Arabidopsis thaliana: one gene and its partners. The protein of the gene in region 2 binds, or shares a complex with, the protein of the main gene of each other region. Each region holds a gene or a part of one and is shown on either strand. Other genes may lie near its edges. The genes, in order: AT5G65274, arpc2b, CRK and ARPC3.

Region 1 (4,164 bases), on a different chromosome or scaffold from region 2:
AAACCTTGAGCTCCCATTTCCTTCTCGACCTTAGCCTGCATCTCACGCAGAGCAGCAGCTTCGTCCTCCATCTCTTTCAATCGTTTCTTCATTTCATCCAACTCCTAGAATTACAACAGCAATAACACAACAATCAAACACATATACACGCGATAACAAATCAATCGAGCTCAGTCACATAAAGATGAGCAAAACAGTAAGAGAGAAAGAGATAATAGTAGACCTTAACCGCATCATCATCAGCAGCAGCCATATCCAAATCGGGGTTGAGAGCCTCCATATCTCCATCCATCTCTCCGACGTCTGGAATTTCACCACCGTAAACCTCGTGCTCCTCTTCCTCCATCGTCTCTCTCGCTCTCTCTCCGTCGCGACGTTTGCTTTGTTTTCTTCTGAAAACGCTTAGGTCACTTTTTGTCAATTCGGATAGCGACACGTAATCAACCAAATAACGGCCCTTTATTATAACTTAATGGGCCTAATAAGGCCCAATTTTAAAAGACTTTTTAACATTCGAAATTACCCTATTTGATGACATCATCACCCAAAAACATGCGCCTGACAGAAAGATAATTGTCGAATCCGTCAAATCTCACCGAGCCGGCAGAATCCAACGGTTAATATTTAGACACGTCATCATTAATTAAAAATATTGACTAATAGTTGACAACGACGACAATACGACCGTATCAGATCTCTCTCTGCGTTTAAAACTTCAAAAAAGCTCACTTTTCGGTAAAAGCTTAAAACAGAGGATTTAGCAAGAGAGGATTTAGCGAGAGAGAGACGTTGAAGAAGATGACTAGTGGAGGAGGATACGGAGATCCGTCGCAGAAGATTGATTATGTGTTCAAAGTGGTGTTGATCGGCGATTCCGCGGTTGGGAAATCACAGATACTGGCTCGTTATGCTAGAGACGAATTCAGTTTGGATTCTAAGGCCACCATCGGCGTTGAGTTTCAGACTCGGACGCTTGTTATCGATCACAAGAGTGTTAAGGCTCAGATCTGGGATACCGCCGGCCAAGAACGGTAATCTCCGACCTCTCCCGGAACTTTTAGCTACTTCAATTGCTTGAACTTAGATCTCGTAAGATTTTACTGTTTCTCTAGATCTGGAAGATGATAGGTCTGCTTAGGATTTCGAATTCTAGTAAAGCTTACTGATCTGTATACGAAATTGGGAGGATCTGAAGTAAAATGGTAGAATCATTGAGAATTTGGGATTGGGATTTCAAAATTATGTATAGACTAGAATTATGTATATTACTATTCCAATGTTATTAAGCTTCTATAATTTTATGATTGGTACAAATTTGGACACTTTTGTTATACATTTCCCAGTGATGCTTCATCAACTTTATACATTCACTGATCTTTAATGAGTAAGCTAACCACCACATTTCATGCTTATCATATGCTTACATTGTATATCTTTCTATATGTGTGGTATTGGTTGAAACAGATACAGAGCAGTAACAAGTGCATATTACCGAGGAGCGGTTGGGGCGATGTTGGTGTATGACATAACCAGACGCCAAACCTTTGACCATATCCCAAGATGGTTAGAAGAACTACGTGCTCATGCAGATAAGAACATTGTGATAATCCTTATTGGGAACAAGTCAGATCTTGTGGATCAACGAGCTATACCGACAGAAGATGCGAAAGAATTTGCGGAGAAAGAAGGTTTGTTCTTCTTGGAGACATCTGCATTTAACGCAACCAATGTTGAGAGCGCTTTCTCCACGGTTTTGACTGAGATCTTCAACATTGTGAACAAGAAAAGTCTGGCTGCGAGTGAAGATCAAGAGAATGGTAATCCCGGGTCGCTTGCTGGTAAGAAGATTGATATTGTTCCAGGTCCTGGTCAAGTGATACCAAACAAGAGTAACATGTGTTGTAACTCTTAGATAAACCAATTCAATTCTTGAATGTTACTTGATAACAACAATATATAGATGTTTTAAAGACTCTGATTGGGATATTTCTCCTATCTAGAGCTGTGTGATTCATTTGTTGCTTAATGAGCAGTTTTTGTGGGGTTTTGGGGTGTTGAATCCAAGTATAACAAACCGATCTTAATTTGATCTTAAAAATTGGATATTAATTTGATCAACATGTTTTTATTCTCTCTACATTTGTAAGATTATTGTTACATTTTTGTTAATTACAAATATATACCAGCAATAACAACTTTTCTATTTCTCTTGTTACGTCAATGTGAAAAAGTAAAAATTAAAAACTGAAGCATCCGATTTTAATAATTGGTATCACAGTTCTGATAAATTCTCACTCGGCCGTTTTACCACTCGATTGCTTTATTCTCTCTAATTTCAGGTAATCTTCGAATCCTGCTTGATTCTTCAATCTTGTATGATTTGATCAGAAAGTTCAGGATTACTGATCTGATATGATGTGAGAAATCTGCGTACCATCGGCAATGGATTGTTTTACGTGATTAGAATTGATTTTGTCGTGATTGTTACTTCTCTTTTTAGCTTTTTATGGGGATGACAAGTTTTGCATTGCCTCCTTTGGTTAGTAAACTCAAATCATATGTTTCTTATGCAGCAAGTTGTCGATTTGAATGAAGAAATGAAATTAATTGATTAGGTTTTAGATAATTTTGCTGGAGAGTGTAGAGAAAGAGAGAGATCCAATGGCTGGTGCAGCAGCATTTGTTGAAGCTGATAATGCAGAGGAAATAATGGCAAGGATCGAAACCAAATCGCAGAAGATTGAAAGCTTACTCAAACAGTAATAACCCTAAAGTTCCTTTTTTCTTCCAACTTTCTCAGATGACCTAGGCTATAATTGTTACTTCGTTTTATTCAGCTACAAACATGTCGAAGCTCTTAAAACGGCTCTTGATGGTTCGCCACCTAAAACTCTCGACGAACGTTGCAAGGTCCTACTGTTTCCTCTACCATGCACATAAGTAGTTTGTTCATGATCAAAAAGATTGTGTAATTTATGATAAATATCTGTGAAATTGCAGTCAGCTAATTGGATAGTTGTGCACAGAGCTATCATGGCGATAAAGGATATCGAAGGAATGTTAAATTCTCTTACTGCCGAGTATTACGACATTCTCATGAAGTAAGTCTCTTGCCTTTTGCTCTGCTAGCTTTTAATTAGCGTGATGTGGAAGCAGTGTTTTGTTTGCTTAAATGGTGTGGATCAGGTACTTGTACAGAGGTCTTTCGACTGGTGACGAACCCACATGCGAACAGTGTTTGATGATTCACGAGAAACTAACAGAGAGAGCTGGTCTCGGTTGCATTCTCCGTTGTCTGAGTGATACTACCAATACCGTTTAAACCATTAAGCTGATCTTTTCATGTTACTTTTATTCTTGTTTTCTATGAATGTTTCTCCCAAATCTCAAGTTACTTCAATAGATTATAGAAAGTGGAATAAACCGGAGAACCTAAGATCCTTTCACAAAGAGATAGTCATAAAAGAACCTACGGTTACCTGGTTTTAAATTATATCTCATAACCAGGAAACTTAGAATCTACCGGCGACACAAGATCGAACCAGAGGCATACTGGTCCAGCTAGTCCCCGGAATAGCGAATAATCATGTTCTGTTTCTTGGCTTGTCATATTCACGAGCTCTATCGCATCACGGCACAAGTAACTCGCAAACGCTTTTGCTCTCTCTTCATATACAACATCTCCGGTTAAGCGATAAAGGGATAAGAAAGCGTAGGCATTACCAGCAACTCCATCAGCTAAACCTACCTTCTTCACCAAGCCACTCTTCCACACTACTTCTCCTGCTTCAATGGCTGCTTCGCGGAAATCCCTTTCCTTGGGAAACACCTGAGATGCTTTAGCCAAAGTAATGGCCATGCCGGTTGCTCCATGAGCCCATTGGACTAGCTTATCCCTCGGATTCCCTTCGCTGCACGGGTAGTTTCCGCTGTTCGGAAACCTATTACTCATCATATACCTCAATGTCCCTTGAACATCTTTAACATCCTCTTCCGATAGTGGAAAATGCAGCAATACATACAAGATTCCAGCTAATCCATTCGCAGCACCCCAAAATCGCGTTCCGTGAAACCTAAAAGCCACAAAAGTAAGATCAATTCCTACTAAAGATAAACAGGATTCTCTTTTAACAAACTATAGCTATTTTGTGAAACCTGTATAAC
Region 2 (6,076 bases):
ACGTAAGATATATAGTTGTTTTCAATTGCCAAGGGGAAAAACAACAATGTAAAAGAGTAAGTTCTTAAACAGAAGATAACTACTCTATTGGACCTTCAACTACCAATATGGATGTAAACGACAAGCTTTTCCAATGGGTTTAGTTAGTGTTTCTAGACATAGTAAGTAGATTATCTTCAAGGTTCTTTACTAAATTCAGATTCCACAACCCCAAATTGAAGTGAGAAACAGGACTACAGGTTTGTTTCGTCTATCAGTTAGTACACTAAACTGCTGCCAGATAGGAGCACAAACGCTATAAGAAATTTATCAGCTACATTACACAGGGAAGCCAAATTGTTTCTCATAGGCTCATCAACAAAAATATTGGAAATAGTCAAATCAATACTAATCTAAGGTTTACAATATGGCTAGAGCAACTATAAGAATTTCTCTATGGAAACCATTCTTAAACAAAAAGACCACCAGTCAAAGATCAAGAAGACCACTCCAAAAGCACGGAAATAGCCAAAACAAAACTAACCTAAGGTTTCCGATACGAATCCCGCATTTGCAAATCATTAACATTTAAGTAAGAGCTAGACCAAATAAAAGAGAAGAGAATCACGATACAGCGAAAAACTTGAAATAATACTCTACAGAGATAGTGTTGTTAAGGATGATATTACCTTGGTTCATAAACTAAAACCTCAGCAAGATTGTCTCCTTTAATGTCATTCCACTGCACAGTCCTCTTAATCTTGTCAGTGCTTCTAGACATGCCTCCTTTCCTTGGAGGCAATAAACATTGTGACTCACTTTCTTCTTCCTCAAAGATTTGATCTTCAATTTCACTGCTATTTAAACTAACTATAGCCTTATTCTCACATCCATTAGCTTCTTTACCCTCTCCACGACCCGTATCCATAGCAAATCTTCAATCTATGGAAACTAAACCCCAAGCTTAAACAATCTGGAGAAGATAGAGATATCACTCGTGTTCCCTAATTCATGTCAAATACCAAATACCACCTGATCATTCATAAACCCTAAGCTCCCTAACCATTAACCTCAATTTCGCTTCAGTATTCAGGGGTTTGAATTTGATCCTGATACAAAACAAAAGATAAATATGAATCTAACAAACCCTAATCACAAAATCTGAAAATTTGTGAATTCTAATATATCAAAGTCAACGCTTGGATCATGAATCAAGATCAGGATACGAAATCAGAAAACTGGAAATGAGAAAAAGCATTACTTACGTAGTAAAATGGCTGCGTTTTCTCTCGATTAGACGAACGAAAAAATCTCAAATTTTCTCGAGGAAAAAAATCAAAACTTTGACAACGATTAACACAAACAACAAACACCCATATCGAATTTCAACAATAATCGAATCCAACAATCCAGGGAAACCTCGAATTTCCCAAAATTTTGTTCTGATCCGATAACGAGAAAAAAAGAAAAGGGAAAGTGAAGGATTGAAATCTGAGAGACGCGTTTCTCTCAGCTGAGTTCTGATTGGGTGTCGAGAAAGTGTGCGAAAAGAAAATTCGTTAAATAAGGAATTAACGGCTAAGATCAAACTTGAGATATTTTTGTAGATGAGATTAAAACTTGTTTTGGCACACGGTAGGTAATCTCGTTATGAGATTATACTTCGGCCGTTGACTAATCATTTTTAATTAGCAAACTTGCAACTTTTTAATTACTTGTTTTTTTGGTTAAACAACAATATTTTAATTAAACAACTTGTTGAGCTTTTATGTGTTCTATAATTTAATAAGCTTTGAATTTTTCATGTTGACAAATTCAATATAGACTTCTAGATTTATAATTGATAATAAATTAAATTGATAGAGGTCTAGTTATCTTAGCATATGTATAGTTTTATGTGACTAAGATTACTTTTATAGTTTTAAATTATATAACAAATCAGGGTATTTTACAAGTTGTATTATCAAAATGAATCTATATAAATAAAACATGAATTTATATATTGATGGTCATCATAACAAAGACACATTTTGCTAAAAGATTTTATTTTCCTGTTTCATAAAAAAATAATATTAATAAATAAGTTATAAATTCATGTCAGATAATATGGTTTTACAATGACCATTCTTTTACCCTAAGTAAACCTCACGTCCACACTGAATAGAAAGAAGAATTGTGACTTAGTATGTGGGGTAAACTAATAACTATATGTTGGTGAAGTCAATAATAGCTTGCGATTTGTGTGAAACCGACGCTTAATGTTCATTGGATTAGCTTGGATTACATTCCAAGTATTGCTTTTTTAATGATAAGATTAATGTCCACATAATGACAATAGAAAAACAATCATTTATGTTTCTAACAGTAGAATTTTGCCTTTGAGGTTGAATAAAGATCAGGGAAAAAATATATGAAAATCTCATTTTCCATGGTTTCGATATTTTAGATGTAATCTAAGTTTTTGGAAAAAACACATTCTACCTCTGTCAAATTCCTTCTGTGTCATCACGGGACCGTGCGAATCGGCGTCCATCGGATCCCACAGCTTTAGTCCGAAGGCTGAGAAAGCATTAAAACTCTTTATCAACGGGCCTATGTTTATATTCGGCTCACAGGTACATCCACATGTTACGTTTCAGTGGCAGATACAATAGCTAAAATGTTTTCTTAGAAAGAAAGATAAAAAAATGATTGCAAATTTAAACTGACATTTTACTCAACATCCAACAATTCACCAATGCACGAAAGAAAAAGCGCACTTATTAGGCTCTCACACAGATATATGTGCAATGCACACATAAAAAGTTATAGATTGATGACATTGTAAATTATAATTATTGTACCCTCAAGTTTCTTCCGAGGTGTTTCAAGAATGGCATATCTCGAAAGAGCCTCTCCAACGTTGAAAGAAACACTCCTCAAGATATACCGGTAAGCCACACTCTCTCTTTTATTCTCTGGTCCAATTTCATTCCCGGTTTAGCTACCTCCGTACCTAACAATATTTTCCGGCTTAACTTCAATCAAGATTATTTGAAATGATTTTGTTAGTATGGTTAGTAAACATTAATTTCCAACTAAAAATCAATTGGCAATAAGTTCATATCCAATGCCAATGTGAGACATTATAACATAAGGTTATTGAATCCATGGCAGTGCTGAAAAACCTATTGAGGTCGATCAACATTTCCATGAGTTTGGTTCGATTGAATACCATATCAAGGTATATTTTTGGGGCTTCCTTTTTTTAATAATAATCTTCTTTCTTATTCGATTATATGTGCTCTTACAAAATGAAATATATATGATTTGGACATGCAGTACTCGGTTTCGGATCCAAATATTGTGCATGTATCGACGTCGACGTTGCTTGAGACACAAGGAGCAGTGACATTGAAGGAGATTTCAAGTTACACTTATGAGGTGATTAAGAATATTGGAGTTGGTGTGATTGACATCGTTGATCCACCAAGATTAGGGTTTCAATTGACCCTTGGCCTAAACCTTGATAATATACCACGTGGCAAAGGTAAGCTTCAATATTGAAATGTACTTTTTCCCGCTACTTAGTTATTATAAGTTTTTTTCATATTTACTCATTCAAATGCAGAAGCGATTAAAATCATTACAAGGATTTCTGAACTACAAGCGATAATATTAAGTAGCCAACTAAAAGAGATGCTGAGAAGTTTAAATTTTCAAGATGATTCACGATCGATCAACAACATGCCCATCAGGATTGTTTATCACCCAAGTGAACCTTTCTACGTCTTTAAACAGGTTTATTTTACCGCGTTTTATTCGTTTATCTGAGTTACATCCAACTAAATATAATAATGGATAGAGACCAACGTCTAAAATTTATCGAATAACTATAACTATAAGAATAAGTCTTTGAATGTTTTTTCAGCCGGAAAAAATCACGGCCGTGTTTCCGATGAATTTTAAAGACAATTCGGATGTGGTCATCGCCACGTCATTCTTCCAGGTACAACTAAAATGCATACAATCAATGGGTGGGACTAGAGTTTTGCATTGAGACGTCACTAAGGTTTCCTTTGTCAAATTTTATCTTTTTATGTTAAAAACAAATTGGACAATACATATAAAAAGGAACTAGTTGAAGTGGGAAGCCAAAAGGATATGGGAAAAGCCCCACAATGTAGTTGGTCGCCAATTCCTCCTCTCCAACTTAGAGGAGAACCGGTTCAAGACTTGACCACCAATTCTGGTTTTGTATCATTTGGTACGTTTTGTGTCATTTTATCTGTTTATAAAACTTAATCCAACATCTTTAATTAGTATTCTTAAATGTCAAAGTTCAAACAATTCTCATTGCAGATATTACTTCACGGCACATTGAAGGAAAGAGACTGGACAAAACGGTTTGGAACTTGCTAAATTTCTACGCATGCGCTAAGTACCATATTAAGGTACATTAGTTCTAGTTTTTCAAATAAAATATAATAGATTTTGTGTTCTTGTAATTGAAAATTTTCAACCTCGTATTGTTTAAATAGTGCTCGAGAGGGTACATACAGAGACGGATGAGAAAAAGAATGGAAACTTTAGTTAAGGTATTTTTATCATATATTACGTACACACACGAATCTACAACAATAGTTGACATTTCATAAACAAAATAACGTATGTTTGTAAATTTACATTATATACGTAGCTGCTAAATAACACAAGCCTAGAAGAAGAAGCTGCTCAAAATGGTATCCTTTTTTTTTGTTACCTTTAACCTTACTTAGGTTTGTATATATAAAAAAGTTATATTATCATTTTTTCTTTTCCATTCTCTAATTTCTATATAGAAAACGGAAGATGCAAATACGTAAAGGAGTTTGTGAAGGTACCAAAAGGTAAATTGATGATGAAACAAAGATGCAAGGAGATGACAAGGAGAGTGAAGATAAGCAAGTTCCGGATCAAAATCAACGGTTGTGCTCGGTTTCGATTCAATCAGCGGTGGATATCTCTCCCCAAATTCTCTTCGAAACCATCAGATAAATCATACACAAAATTGGACTAAGTAATCACTTAACTTGGAAAGTCTCAAGAAAGAGGCTCGGTGTTGTTGTTTTTTTTCTTTGTCAACATGCTTTAAAATTGAATTCGGGGAGCAATATTATACGTTAATGAATATCTTGACAACAAAAAAAAACGTTATCAGATAAACTTATGGATATAATTTGGTAAACCAAAAATAAACCTAATCAAAAGTTGGCATTGAATGCAGCATGTTACGTAAGAGCTTTGTACAAGTACCATTCACTCTTTTTACTTTTCAATGTATACAATCATCATGTGATAAAAAAAAAAATGTAACCAATCAACACACTGAGATACGGCCAAAAAATGGTAATACATAAATGTTTGTAGGTTTTGTAATTTAAATACTTTAGTTAAGTTATGATTTTATTATTTTTGCTTATCACTTATACGAAATCATCAATCTATTGGTATCTCTTAATCCCGCTTTTTAATTTCCACCGCACACGCAAATCAGCAAATGGTTCCAGCCACGTGCATGTGACCACATATTGTGGTCACAGTACTCGTCCTTTTTTTTTCTTTTGTAATCAATAAATTTCAATCCTAAAACTTCACACATTGAGCACGTCGGCAACGTTAGCTCCTAAATCATAACGAGCAAAAAAGTTCAAATTAGGGTATATGATCAATTGATCATCACTACATGTCTACATAATTAATATGTATTCAACCGGTCGGTTTGTTGATACTCATAGTTAAGTATATATGTGCTAATTAGAATTAGGATGAATCAGTTCTTGCAAACAACTACGGTTTCATATAATATGGGAGTGTTATGTACAAAATGAAAGAGGATGGATCATTCTGAGATGTTATGGGCTCCCAGTCAATCATGTTTTGCTCGCATATGCTATCTTTTGAGTCTCTTCCTAAACTCATAGAATAAGCACGTTGGTTTTTTCCACCGTCCTCCTCGTGAACAAAAGTACAATTACATTTTAGCAAATTGAAAATAACCACGTGGATGGACCATATTATATGTGATCATATTGCTTGTCGTCTTCGTTTTCTTTTAAATGTTTACACCACTACTTCC
Region 3 (4,895 bases), on a different chromosome or scaffold from region 2:
GATATAAATGGTTATTGGTTAATAATTAATTTTGTAGACTTACCAAGATAGTTGAATGGGACCTCTTCCTTTGTAAGACTTGCCAGAAACACAAGGCCAATCCTTATTAGAAGCATCACAATAATTACTCTGTGGACTCACTTCCTCTTTAAAACACAATCCCCACGCATATGGTCCGTCTGGTGCCGTGGCCCAACCACCTGTTGTCTCGTGAGATATCTGCGCCAAAAACGCAGCCACTTCGCGTCGCCTTGTCCAAAAGTTTCCTACGCTCCCGAACTTCGGGAAGGATCTTGTAGCCTCCACGAAAGCTTCATAGGGGTAGAAACCTTTTGCAGGGCATGCGTTGTTGTCCTTGTGGATGAAGATTTGGTCGTAGAGAGTTCTTGGGACTAGGCTCATGATCGGTGCGGGTTTATATTTATTGTGTTTTCGAGCTTCGGTTTCATGGAGAGAGGATGATATTGAGAAGATGAAGAGGAGTAGACAGAGCAATAGAGAGATTTGTTTCTCCATATTTGTTCTTTTTTGTGTTTTGTGTGAGAAGATGTGGTTTTGGCTTTGTTGTTATATAGAGTCATAGAGATGTAGTAGTGGACGACTTAGTTACATGTTTTTGTTTTGGTCTACGTTTTGACTTTTTTTAGTGGAGTTTATACTTTTTATTTTATATAGTTGCAATTATTTAAGGGTTTATTCTCTTTTTCATTGTTAGGAGACCCATTCCTCTCCTTCTTCTTTTTTCTCATTTTTTTTCTTTCAAGAAGATTCATTCTTGATTTGGAAAATGCATGACATATATTTCAAACCAGATAAAGTGAACCATTTCAGTCTGAATTCAATTGAATAATGTTAATATGAAGACCAAGTTGAATTTTAATGTGGGGAATTAAGCTTCTTTGGAAGGTACTAACCAAATTCAAATATAAATATATTCTTTGAAAATTTGAAACATAATTCATTATGAAGTAAATATTAAATAAAACAGAAAGTGTTCCATACTGAATTATAGTTTCATTTTGAATACTATTCTATACAAAAATAAAAACAATAAAAAAAAATTGAGAGAAATATTAGCAATGAAAACAAAACTATCAAAGAATTGTTTTTGAAGTTAAAAAATATAAAATTTCAAAGTTCGAGGTCGGTGGCTAACTAACATGAAAAGCGCCGAGCAACTTGTGATATGTACGAGTTGGACCAAGTCGTGACGACTTTTTTAATAAGCTTAAGATCCAATTATTTCTCAAGAAAAACAGTAAAACGTACGCCAACATATATTAACTACGACGACAAAATTCTTGGCCTTTAAGAAAGACTAGTACACGATCAATCCCAACGATTAAACCAGCAGACGAGTAACCATATGTAGGGTACGAGTTTCTCAACCACATCTCCAACTTTTCAGTAGACGATCTAATTATGTTTAACCACTAGAAGCCGACACCATAAACATCCATCCGAGGTTATCGTCTTTCGAAGAGTTCCTAACGAGCATTCATGAAACATCATTCTCACTTCTCCTCCCACTAAACCGACTTTTTTCGGATGTTATTTCAAATTTGGTTAATTGCTAAATGATTGACCATTAATTCGACCACGTGATTACACAAAGAGACGTTTAGATCCACTACATTGGTGCGATGTGAAGTGATCACCATGCTTTAGTTTACACGTCCACTTTATATAGGTTTGGCAGTTAAAAAAAAGAAGTTTTATACATAGTTCTATCAAGTGGTCTTAGACCGAATCTTGGCAATATATTTGTTATAAGACTACCAATATCATTAATGATTAGAGAAAGTTAATGTTAAGTTTCATCAGATTCTAATTTAAAACCAATGGGTAATGATTGGATTGGTTGTGTTCCATATATACTAGTGTTAGCACTTAGCAGTCATGAGTGTGTTTACTCCATTTATAGTATACTTTCGATGTAGGATCCTAATTAGAATGATAAAGAAACATTCCAAAAGAGTATTATCAAAATGCTCTTCGTCTATCCATACAAATATAATGAGATTTGGGCAGAAACAACCATTTTGTTAACATATTAGGGTCGAGCGCAGAAAAAAATATATTTTGACCTGTGTTAATAAAATAGAATAGGTTGCGATTTTAATTAAGGAGGTTAATAAATTAAAATCGTAAAAATGATACCAAAATGGTAACAAAATCGTAAAGAAAAGTTCATTAGTATAAATATAAAAAATTCGGTCCAACAAATATTACTATTAAAAATTTATAAGAGAGATTTATAATAAAAAAAAAATTGTTATACCAAGAAAGAAAAGGAGATTCTTGTATTGTAACCCGTTTGTGTGTCTTTTTTAGTCTCAGATTTGTTTTAATTTTCTATGACTTAGGATTTGTAAGTCTTTTTTGGATTTCTAGAACCTGATCGAGGAAATTTCAATGAATATAGTGTAATTGGTTTGTTTGGATTTTGTTCCCTTTGTTTACCTTGTTTGGTATTTGGCTTCGGGAGTGTTCTTGTACTCATCGGCTTATGTCTCCGGAAGTGGTTTGTACTTGCCGGCTCTTGTATTTCAACTTGAATCCTATCGATGAAAATCCTATTGACAAAAAATGAAAAAAAAAATGAAGCTTCCATCATCCATCATTCAGTGGCAGCATAAGCATTTAAGACTACGTGCCGTTTAAGGCCAAGACAAACGGCACTCAGTTCCCTTTTGAAATGGTCAAATGGCGATTGAGTTGTTTTCCTCTCTCTCTCTCATTTTTTCAATTAAAGAAGGGAAAGAGGGGAAATCTCTGATCGGAGAGAAAGATCGAATCGAAGAATGGCAGAATTCGTTGAAGCTGATAACGCAGAAGCAATAATCGCGAGGATCGAAACCAAATCGAGGAAGATTGAAAGCCTACTCAAACAGTAATATCAGACCTTGGAGCTAAACCCTAAAGTCTTCTTTTGTTTTTGGTTTAATCCCTTATCGGTGTTTTAATGTGTGCAGGTACAAACATGTAGAAGCTTTGAAAACGGCTCTTGAAGGTTCGCCTCCGAAAACTCGCGATGAACGTTGCAAGGTCTCTCTCTTTCCGAAACCATCTTTTTTTTTTTTTTTGATTTACTGAGCCAAAAAAAACTCAACTGCAGTCGGCTAATTGGATAGTTGTGCACAGAGCTTTAATGGCCATTAAGGATATTGACGGAATGCTCAATGCTCTTGATGTCGAATATTACGACATTCTCATGAAGTAAGTGCAAAGTTGGTTTTTTTTTTTTTTGCTGTAATGCGTTTTGTAATATGTATGAATTGGAAAGCTCTATCCTCAGGCTGTCTGTGCTCTTTGATAGAATGTTTTTGCTTAAAATTCTCAGGTACTTGTACAGAGGACTTTCTACTGGGGACCGACCCACCTGCGATCAGTGCCTGAAGATTCACGAGAAACTCACTGAGAGAGCTGGTCTCGGTTGCATTCTCCGATGTCTTACTGATACCATCAACACCGTTTGATCCATCATTCCCTCTTATGTATTATTACTTGATGCCTTGATGTTTCCAATGTGCATATTCTCCTTGAGGAACCATGTCTCACATTTATCAGTTTTAGACTTGTATTTTCATTACCAAACAGTTGCTTGATAAATGATAACACAAGTCATTCCTAGAGCTCATGTGTAACATAATTCCCGGATCAGCTGAATCATAAATACGAAGACCAAGTTGTGATTAAGTAATTTTAGGGGGGTGTATTGAAACCAGAATCTTTTAGAAGATTTGGTGGAATTTGCATTCTTCTACAGACCAAATCCATTCTCGATTTTGCCGGTGAAGAACAGAGACCGAAAGCTTTTTTCATGGAAGACGAGGGGAGGAGGACAATGAGAATATGTCGCAGAGATTTTCTGTGAATCTTTTTTTAAATCAAATCGTTCAGAATAACACCTACAGGTGAGATTTTTTCATGCTTATTTTCAACTAAATTTTTTTGCCTAAGTCTCCCAGAATCAATGTTAAATGTTTTTAATGAAATTGTTTTGTTGAGTTTAGATAACAGTGGATTTAAGATGTGTTTTATAAATTCTTGAATGAATAACAGAAGATTATAGATTCTTTTGAGTGATTTTATATAAATTCCAATTTCAATAACAAAGGATTTGAGAAAAAAATTACAAATCACAAGTTGAATACAACCATTCCTGATTCACTGAATGTTCATAACTCGAAGGCCCAATATCGAACTCAGCCCATTGAAACTAAATTCATTTCTAAACTTTCAATGTAAATGCACTCGTCATACAAGAGTAAATGTTCACATAGTTAGTCATTGATTTAAACAATTTTACTCTTTAGATTTTTAAAATTTTATAGGATTGTAATAAACCAGGTTGAATTCAAATGTCAAATAGCGTTAAATAAAAGTTTAGATCTTTTTTTTTTTTTTTTTTTTTTTTATCAACGTTAGTACAAGAAGAAACAAGAGCAGCTTTTGCCAAAGCATCAGCTTGATCAACGTTTCCTTATAAAAGACAAAAGCAATTAAGTTTTTACTTTTACAGTCTTTTTGATCAAATTAAATGAGTAATTGAGTAGTAGTAGTAACAAAAGGGAATCCCAGAAATAGTAGTTGCTTTCACATGAAAAAATTTCCAAATACAACAATTTTTATTTATTATTTATAGCATCCGGTAGTTCCAGATGAACTCTTGAAAACCTATTTTCAATAAATCTGATGATCCTCTTTTGATATTTCAAAAATATTAAGATATATAACAATATAAAAAAATTGTCAGCTAATTACAAATTGTTTTCTCTAAAATTCAAAATTACCAATAAAAAAAATGATGTCTTTAGAAAGAAATAGATAAGTGTTTTTGTGATAAACGTTTAAATTATTGTTTATGTACTCAGATGTTTTCGGAGATAAAA
Region 4 (4,898 bases), on a different chromosome or scaffold from region 2:
TGTAAAAATTTGGCTTTCTTTGTTAGGTGCTTGTTTCGGATCTGGTGGGGAAGACTATTCTTATGTACTTCTCAGCTCACTGGTGTCCTCCTTGTCGCGCTTTTACACCAAAGCTTGTTGAAGTATACAAGCAGATAAAGGAGCGGAATGAAGCGTTTGAATTGATCTTCATCTCCAGTGACCGTGACCAGGAATCATTCGATGAGTACTATTCGCAAATGCCGTGGCTGGCTCTTCCATTTGGTGATCCTAGGAAAGCATCCTTGGCAAAAACCTTTAAGGTTGGTGGGATCCCAATGCTAGCAGCTCTGGGACCAACTGGGCAAACCGTAACAAAAGAAGCAAGGGACCTTGTCGTAGCCCATGGAGCCGATGCTTACCCTTTTACTGAGGAACGTTTGAAGGAGATTGAAGCTAAGTACGATGAGATAGCAAAAGATTGGCCTAAGAAGGTGAAACATGTTCTCCATGAAGAACATGAGCTAGAACTAACTCGTGTTCAGGTTTACACATGCGATAAGTGTGAGGAAGAAGGGACAATATGGTCTTACCATTGCGACGAATGCGACTTTGATCTTCACGCCAAGTGTGCTTTAAACGAGGACACAAAAGAAAACGGCGATGAGGCTGTGAAAGTTGGTGGCGACGAGTCCAAAGATGGTTGGGTTTGTGAAGGAAACGTATGCACCAAGGCCTGATAGGTAGCTTCAGGCACAGTTATGTCACTATGTGTATGCAAAGCTATTTCCTTTCTTTGTATAATTGCTAAGAGTGAGAATGTGTGGTTACAATCTGATATCTGATTAAGACCTTGGAGATAAACTCTGTTAATCTAAAGTAATAATAAAAGAATCTTCTTATTTAACTTTGATCTTGTATCAACAAATTTTATATTCCAACAGGAGTTGTATGAAACAATACATTGGCACACTCTATGTATATATCAAGAGATACAGAGAGAGAGCATTCTGCTCTCAGATGAAATTTTCGTCTTCCTGGTTCCAGTGGCTAACACCTATGCAGAGGAAGCTAAAGGTGGCGATTCTCATGATCTCCAGTGGCTTTGGATTCCCTCATTCGTAATGGGCAGCAAGCAAGGAAGAATAACCAGCTGCTAAATTATGAAAAAATCAGATCAAAAGAAAAACATTTTAAGCTTGAAATGTAGAACTGTTTGAGATGGATCTAAGATCACGTGGGATTTTGGATCCAGTAAACTAAAGTGATACTTACCAGTGATTCTCTGTTTTATCATAGGACGACCACGTTCATGAATTTCCTCTTGGCGAATGCAAGCCACCATTTATTTGGTGTCCCGTTGGCTCTATATGCTACACTCAGTAACCTCCCACTTGTCTCCTCTCGAACCTGCTTAAGATAGTTCCTGAAAAGCTCTGACATTTGAAGCCAAACAGAACACAAGGCTAAGGACCAAGTAACTGAAAGAAAAATCAATAAGAGTTGTTTAGACATGTATATATACCTGCTTCGTCCTGGGACTGCGGAAGCGAAAAGAGACCTGGGAAAGGAAAGCCAGTTTCTCCAGGAACAGGAATATCTTCTAAACCCAAGTTGATAATCGCTTTAGTTCCAACAGCCAATGTTCTACAGCCTTCAAGCCTCTTTAACGCCACATTTATATAAAACGTCAAGTAAATAAGGAGCTTATCAGCAGGACTTTTGATATCAAAGTTTGTGAAGAAGACATTAGCACGAAAGAAGGTGATTGCCTCGTCTACTATATCAGTTTTATCTGCATATAAAACCAACAATTTACAAAAGCTTTCGATCGCACAATTGAAAAAAATCACATGTTTTGATTAATTACCTTGTTCTGAAACAGGTGCAGGACCTTTTATATGACTCTTGAGAGGAAGCAATGGACAACCACATGCCTTTGTTACTCCTTCTTCATCCACAAAACTCGAGTGATAAACCTGATCAGAGCATTTAATCACAAGGATTAAGGAAACAAAATGAGCATCGCAGAGTTAAATACTCCATGGAACCAAATCAAAGTGAAACAAGCTCAATAAATAAAAAAAATCTCATCGAAGATCTAATCTAATTTCATTAGTTACAAAATGAAATGCGATTAATGCTAATTGAAAGATAAGAAAATGGTGATCCGTACCATTTTGTGCCGAATTTGAACAATGAAGCGATATCAGGAAGGAGAAGAATCGAATCGAAGGTAGATCTGCTGCAATTAAGATCTTGGATATATAAGAATCAGAATTTAGGTGAACGATTGATTCTATAGATGAAGAAAGAAAAAGTTTTTACCTAAACGAGATCAGATCAATTTCAACTTCTTTAGCGTCTACGAAAGAGGAAAGACTGCGTAAAGTTCACACGGTGAAGAATCCTTCGTGATGTTGCGGCGGTCGGAGATTGTCTTATTGGGAAGCTTAATCGCCGGCTGAAGAAGAAATTGAAATGGAAAATCGACGAAGTAGGAAAAAGGAATGAAGAACAGAAGAAGAAGAAGACAGAGAGGTATGGATGACACGTGTAAGACTCCATGAATGTGGTACATTGCTTCGTACCGGGAGTAACCAATGTTAAATCCGGCTTAGCTTTGATTTTTGAGTTTCTCGGTTTTTTTATTTGAAATTTGGTTTCTTATCGACCACTGGAATTAGGTACATCAAAAACCAAATAATGATGTGGTTCATTCTTCGGTTCAGTTTCGGGTTACATCAAAGTGGTTTGACCGGATTAAACATTGATCTTCAATCAACAACAACAACAAAATGTCCATATAAGTGTCAAGTTTCTGTTATTTCTGCTGAATGGATAAAAACTTGTTACATAAGCAATATACAAAACTTAGTAAACAAAGGCTAAACAGAAATGCACAAATACTTGCAATGCACCGGACTAAACCGAGATTTAAAGAAGCTCTAGTGAGATTTAATAAGTGTGTTTGATTCTTTGTGTGATATATAGTACAAGTTACATTGGTCATACATGAATATTAATACGTGAATCATCTTACATAAATGTGTCTAACATTCAACAAACTAGTAATGAGCAGCTCTTGACTCAAACAGTTGATTAAACATATTTCTACACTGAATTGATAATAATACAACTGGTGATAACTAAACTAAATTGATGCTACATTCTATGGTCTCGCTTTCGTTTAAATTTGAAGTTACTGGGATGTGCCGAAAGTTATGACCTGAACAGTTGAGAATTGCTCTTTGCACAGTGTGATGATGCGGTTTTAAATCGTTATGGCTCTGGTCATTGTAGCTCGTGAAAGCGCCTAATGCTCCAAGAAACCCTTCATGTCGTAAAAACATTGCCTTTGCCTCACCTCTCGACCTGAAATGAGAAGGAAAAATGAGAAAGTTCGATAAAGATTTTGTGGACATACATGAGTTTAAGATATGGAGGGATTTGATTAAGTAGTTTCGGTTTTGGATTTACCAAAAGTGAACAGCAACGGAGATTGTGTCCATGGTGTACTCAAGCCCACGGATGAAAAATCCACCAAAGAAAATACGCTTAAGACCGAATCTGAGAGCATTCAAATAAGCAATCTGGAGGGAGAGTAGAAAACGTTACAATTCGATCAGAATATCATCAGCTTCAAATTATGTTTTAAAATGGCATTAAAATGTTCAGAGGAACTGACCTGACCGATGTTATTTGATATCATTCTTAGAAGGGACCTTGCCACATCTTCTGGCTGGTAATCTTCAAGTTCTTTACCATCAGAAATCGCTTTCCCAAAGCTGGAAGCGATAGCTGTTGAGGAGAGACCAATCTATCAAAAAAGAATGAACAAAAGGTTATATTAACATATGAATCTAATCTAAAAGTCTTCAGACATGTTTAAGCAAAACCAGGATCAATCAATTACCTTTGAATAATCTGTTCCACCGTAGATATCCCCCACAAGCATGTCAATTACTCTGTTATTTCCATGGTGGCTTAACTCTAGCAGCTCATCAAAACTGAAATTAAGAAATATTAGTTGTTACTCAGGCAAGGAGGAAACTTACATTAATAGACTTAACTAAGAAGTCACCTCTTGCATTTTGTTAAAAGCTTCCCAAGACCTAAAAATGTGCCTCCGCCAAGGCTTGTTCCACTTATCCTCTCATATTTTCCATCTCCATCGACCTATATAAGAACGAGTTTGAGTAAGCAACATCGCTGGTGTAGTAGCAAACAAAAACAGAGAGATCAGAGAAACCAAAACCAGAATGAACCTTGATCATGCTAACGCCAGAACCGATGTTGACTAGTAGATATGGATACAAATCATTATGGTCGATCTCGACAAACTTCTTTTGGCCATCTAAGTAGGTAAAAGCTTCCCTTGGGACAGTCTGCAATCATGCAATAATCTATTGTTAATTTAAAATGGCAGAAATAAGAAGTTTATCAAAAACTATTCTGCCACAGATGCTTTTAATGCAATGAAGAAACTATCGGTTAAAAAACCTCAGGGAGCACAGCTCATTTAATCAAAATTGCAAATGATCACCATCTTCAAATTTATAATGTCCTAAATGTTAATGTAGCTATATTTTCAGTCTTATAGACGTTAGTCTGCAACAACACTCAGGCCAAGATCACTATCAGGGAAACATAATACAACTTCACTCATAAAGAATTAGCAAAAAGTGTTGACAAAGATGAGTGATAGCAACGTGTAGCCTAGACTATTCAGAGTACATATATATCCTCATGTGGGTTATGTTTGAGGAAAAATGAATAGAAGATGATGATAGGATAGAAAAAAAAATCAAACCTTTAGTAGAAAATTAACACCACCAACAAGAGAACACATCTCATCTTCCTTATCGAAAAGAATACCAAGTTTCTCCTTAAAGAGATCAGCAAACTTAAATGCCCCACCACCTGTGGCCTTTGGAATA

Evidence for each region.
Region 1: arpc2b (region 2) and AT5G65274 share a complex: the UniProt entries of both Arabidopsis thaliana proteins name them as parts of the arp2/3 complex.
Region 3: arpc2b (region 2) and CRK share a complex: the UniProt entries of both Arabidopsis thaliana proteins name them as parts of the arp2/3 complex.
Region 4: arpc2b (region 2) and ARPC3 share a complex: the UniProt entries of both Arabidopsis thaliana proteins name them as parts of the arp2/3 complex.

What each region holds. Positions count from the first base shown.
Region 1 is NC_003076.8:26,082,639-26,086,802, forward strand, and holds AT5G65274 (ARP2/3 complex 16 kDa subunit (p16-Arc)), read left to right. Parts: upstream 1-2,661; coding exon 2,662-2,759; intron 2,760-2,837; coding exon 2,838-2,910; intron 2,911-2,954; exon of another isoform or gene 2,955-3,000; coding exon 3,001-3,101; exon of another isoform or gene 3,102-3,186; coding exon 3,187-3,322; downstream 3,323-4,164. Other genes in the region: AT5G65260 (RNA-binding (RRM/RBD/RNP motifs) family protein), read right to left, coding at 5-104, 224-346; RABA4a (RAB GTPase homolog A4A), read left to right, coding at 799-1,031, 1,465-1,912; GCL1 (GCR2-like 1), read right to left, coding at 3,491-4,073, 4,156-4,164. UniProt on the Arabidopsis thaliana protein: Functions as a component of the Arp2/3 complex which is involved in regulation of actin polymerization and together with an activating nucleation-promoting factor (NPF) mediates the formation of branched actin networks.
Region 2 is NC_003071.7:14,146,545-14,152,620, reverse strand, and holds arpc2b (actin-related protein C2B), read left to right. Parts: upstream 1-2,718; 5' UTR 2,719-2,851; coding exon 2,852-2,910; intron 2,911-3,135; coding exon 3,136-3,202; intron 3,203-3,300; coding exon 3,301-3,508; intron 3,509-3,589; coding exon 3,590-3,759; intron 3,760-3,889; coding exon 3,890-3,967; intron 3,968-4,092; coding exon 4,093-4,225; intron 4,226-4,320; coding exon 4,321-4,412; intron 4,413-4,499; coding exon 4,500-4,556; coding exon of another isoform or gene 4,557-4,616; exon of another isoform or gene 4,617-4,657; coding exon 4,658-4,700; coding exon of another isoform or gene 4,701-4,726; exon of another isoform or gene 4,727-4,799; coding exon 4,800-5,017; 3' UTR 5,018-5,239; downstream 5,240-6,076. Other genes in the region: AT2G33390 (uncharacterized protein), read right to left, coding at 669-907. UniProt on the Arabidopsis thaliana protein: Functions as actin-binding component of the Arp2/3 complex which is involved in regulation of actin polymerization and together with an activating nucleation-promoting factor (NPF) mediates the formation of branched actin networks.
Region 3 is NC_003075.7:732,972-737,866, forward strand, and holds CRK (ARP2/3 complex 16 kDa subunit (p16-Arc)), read left to right. Parts: upstream 1-2,681; 5' UTR 2,682-2,804; coding exon 2,805-2,893; intron 2,894-2,975; coding exon 2,976-3,048; intron 3,049-3,118; coding exon 3,119-3,219; intron 3,220-3,343; coding exon 3,344-3,479; 3' UTR 3,480-3,994; downstream 3,995-4,895. Other genes in the region: AT4G01700 (Chitinase family protein), read right to left, coding at 44-516; AT4G01703 (uncharacterized protein), read right to left, coding at 1,281-1,394. UniProt on the Arabidopsis thaliana protein: Functions as a component of the Arp2/3 complex which is involved in regulation of actin polymerization and together with an activating nucleation-promoting factor (NPF) mediates the formation of branched actin networks.
Region 4 is NC_003070.9:22,263,546-22,268,443, forward strand, and holds ARPC3 (actin-related protein C3), read right to left. Parts: upstream 2,532-4,898; 5' UTR 2,287-2,531; intron 2,217-2,286; exon of another isoform or gene 2,204-2,216; 5' UTR 2,138-2,203; coding exon 2,135-2,137; intron 1,938-2,134; coding exon 1,829-1,937; intron 1,754-1,828; coding exon 1,484-1,753; coding exon of another isoform or gene 1,452-1,483; intron 1,395-1,451; coding exon 1,252-1,394; 3' UTR 1,234-1,251; intron 1,112-1,233; 3' UTR 840-1,111; downstream 1-839. Other genes in the region: AT1G60420 (DC1 domain-containing protein), read left to right, coding at 27-698; PANK1 (pantothenate kinase 1), read right to left, coding at 3,108-3,333, 3,439-3,551, 3,647-3,778, 3,875-3,968, 4,043-4,137, 4,227-4,346, 4,772-4,888. UniProt on the Arabidopsis thaliana protein: Functions as a component of the Arp2/3 complex which is involved in regulation of actin polymerization and together with an activating nucleation-promoting factor (NPF) mediates the formation of branched actin networks.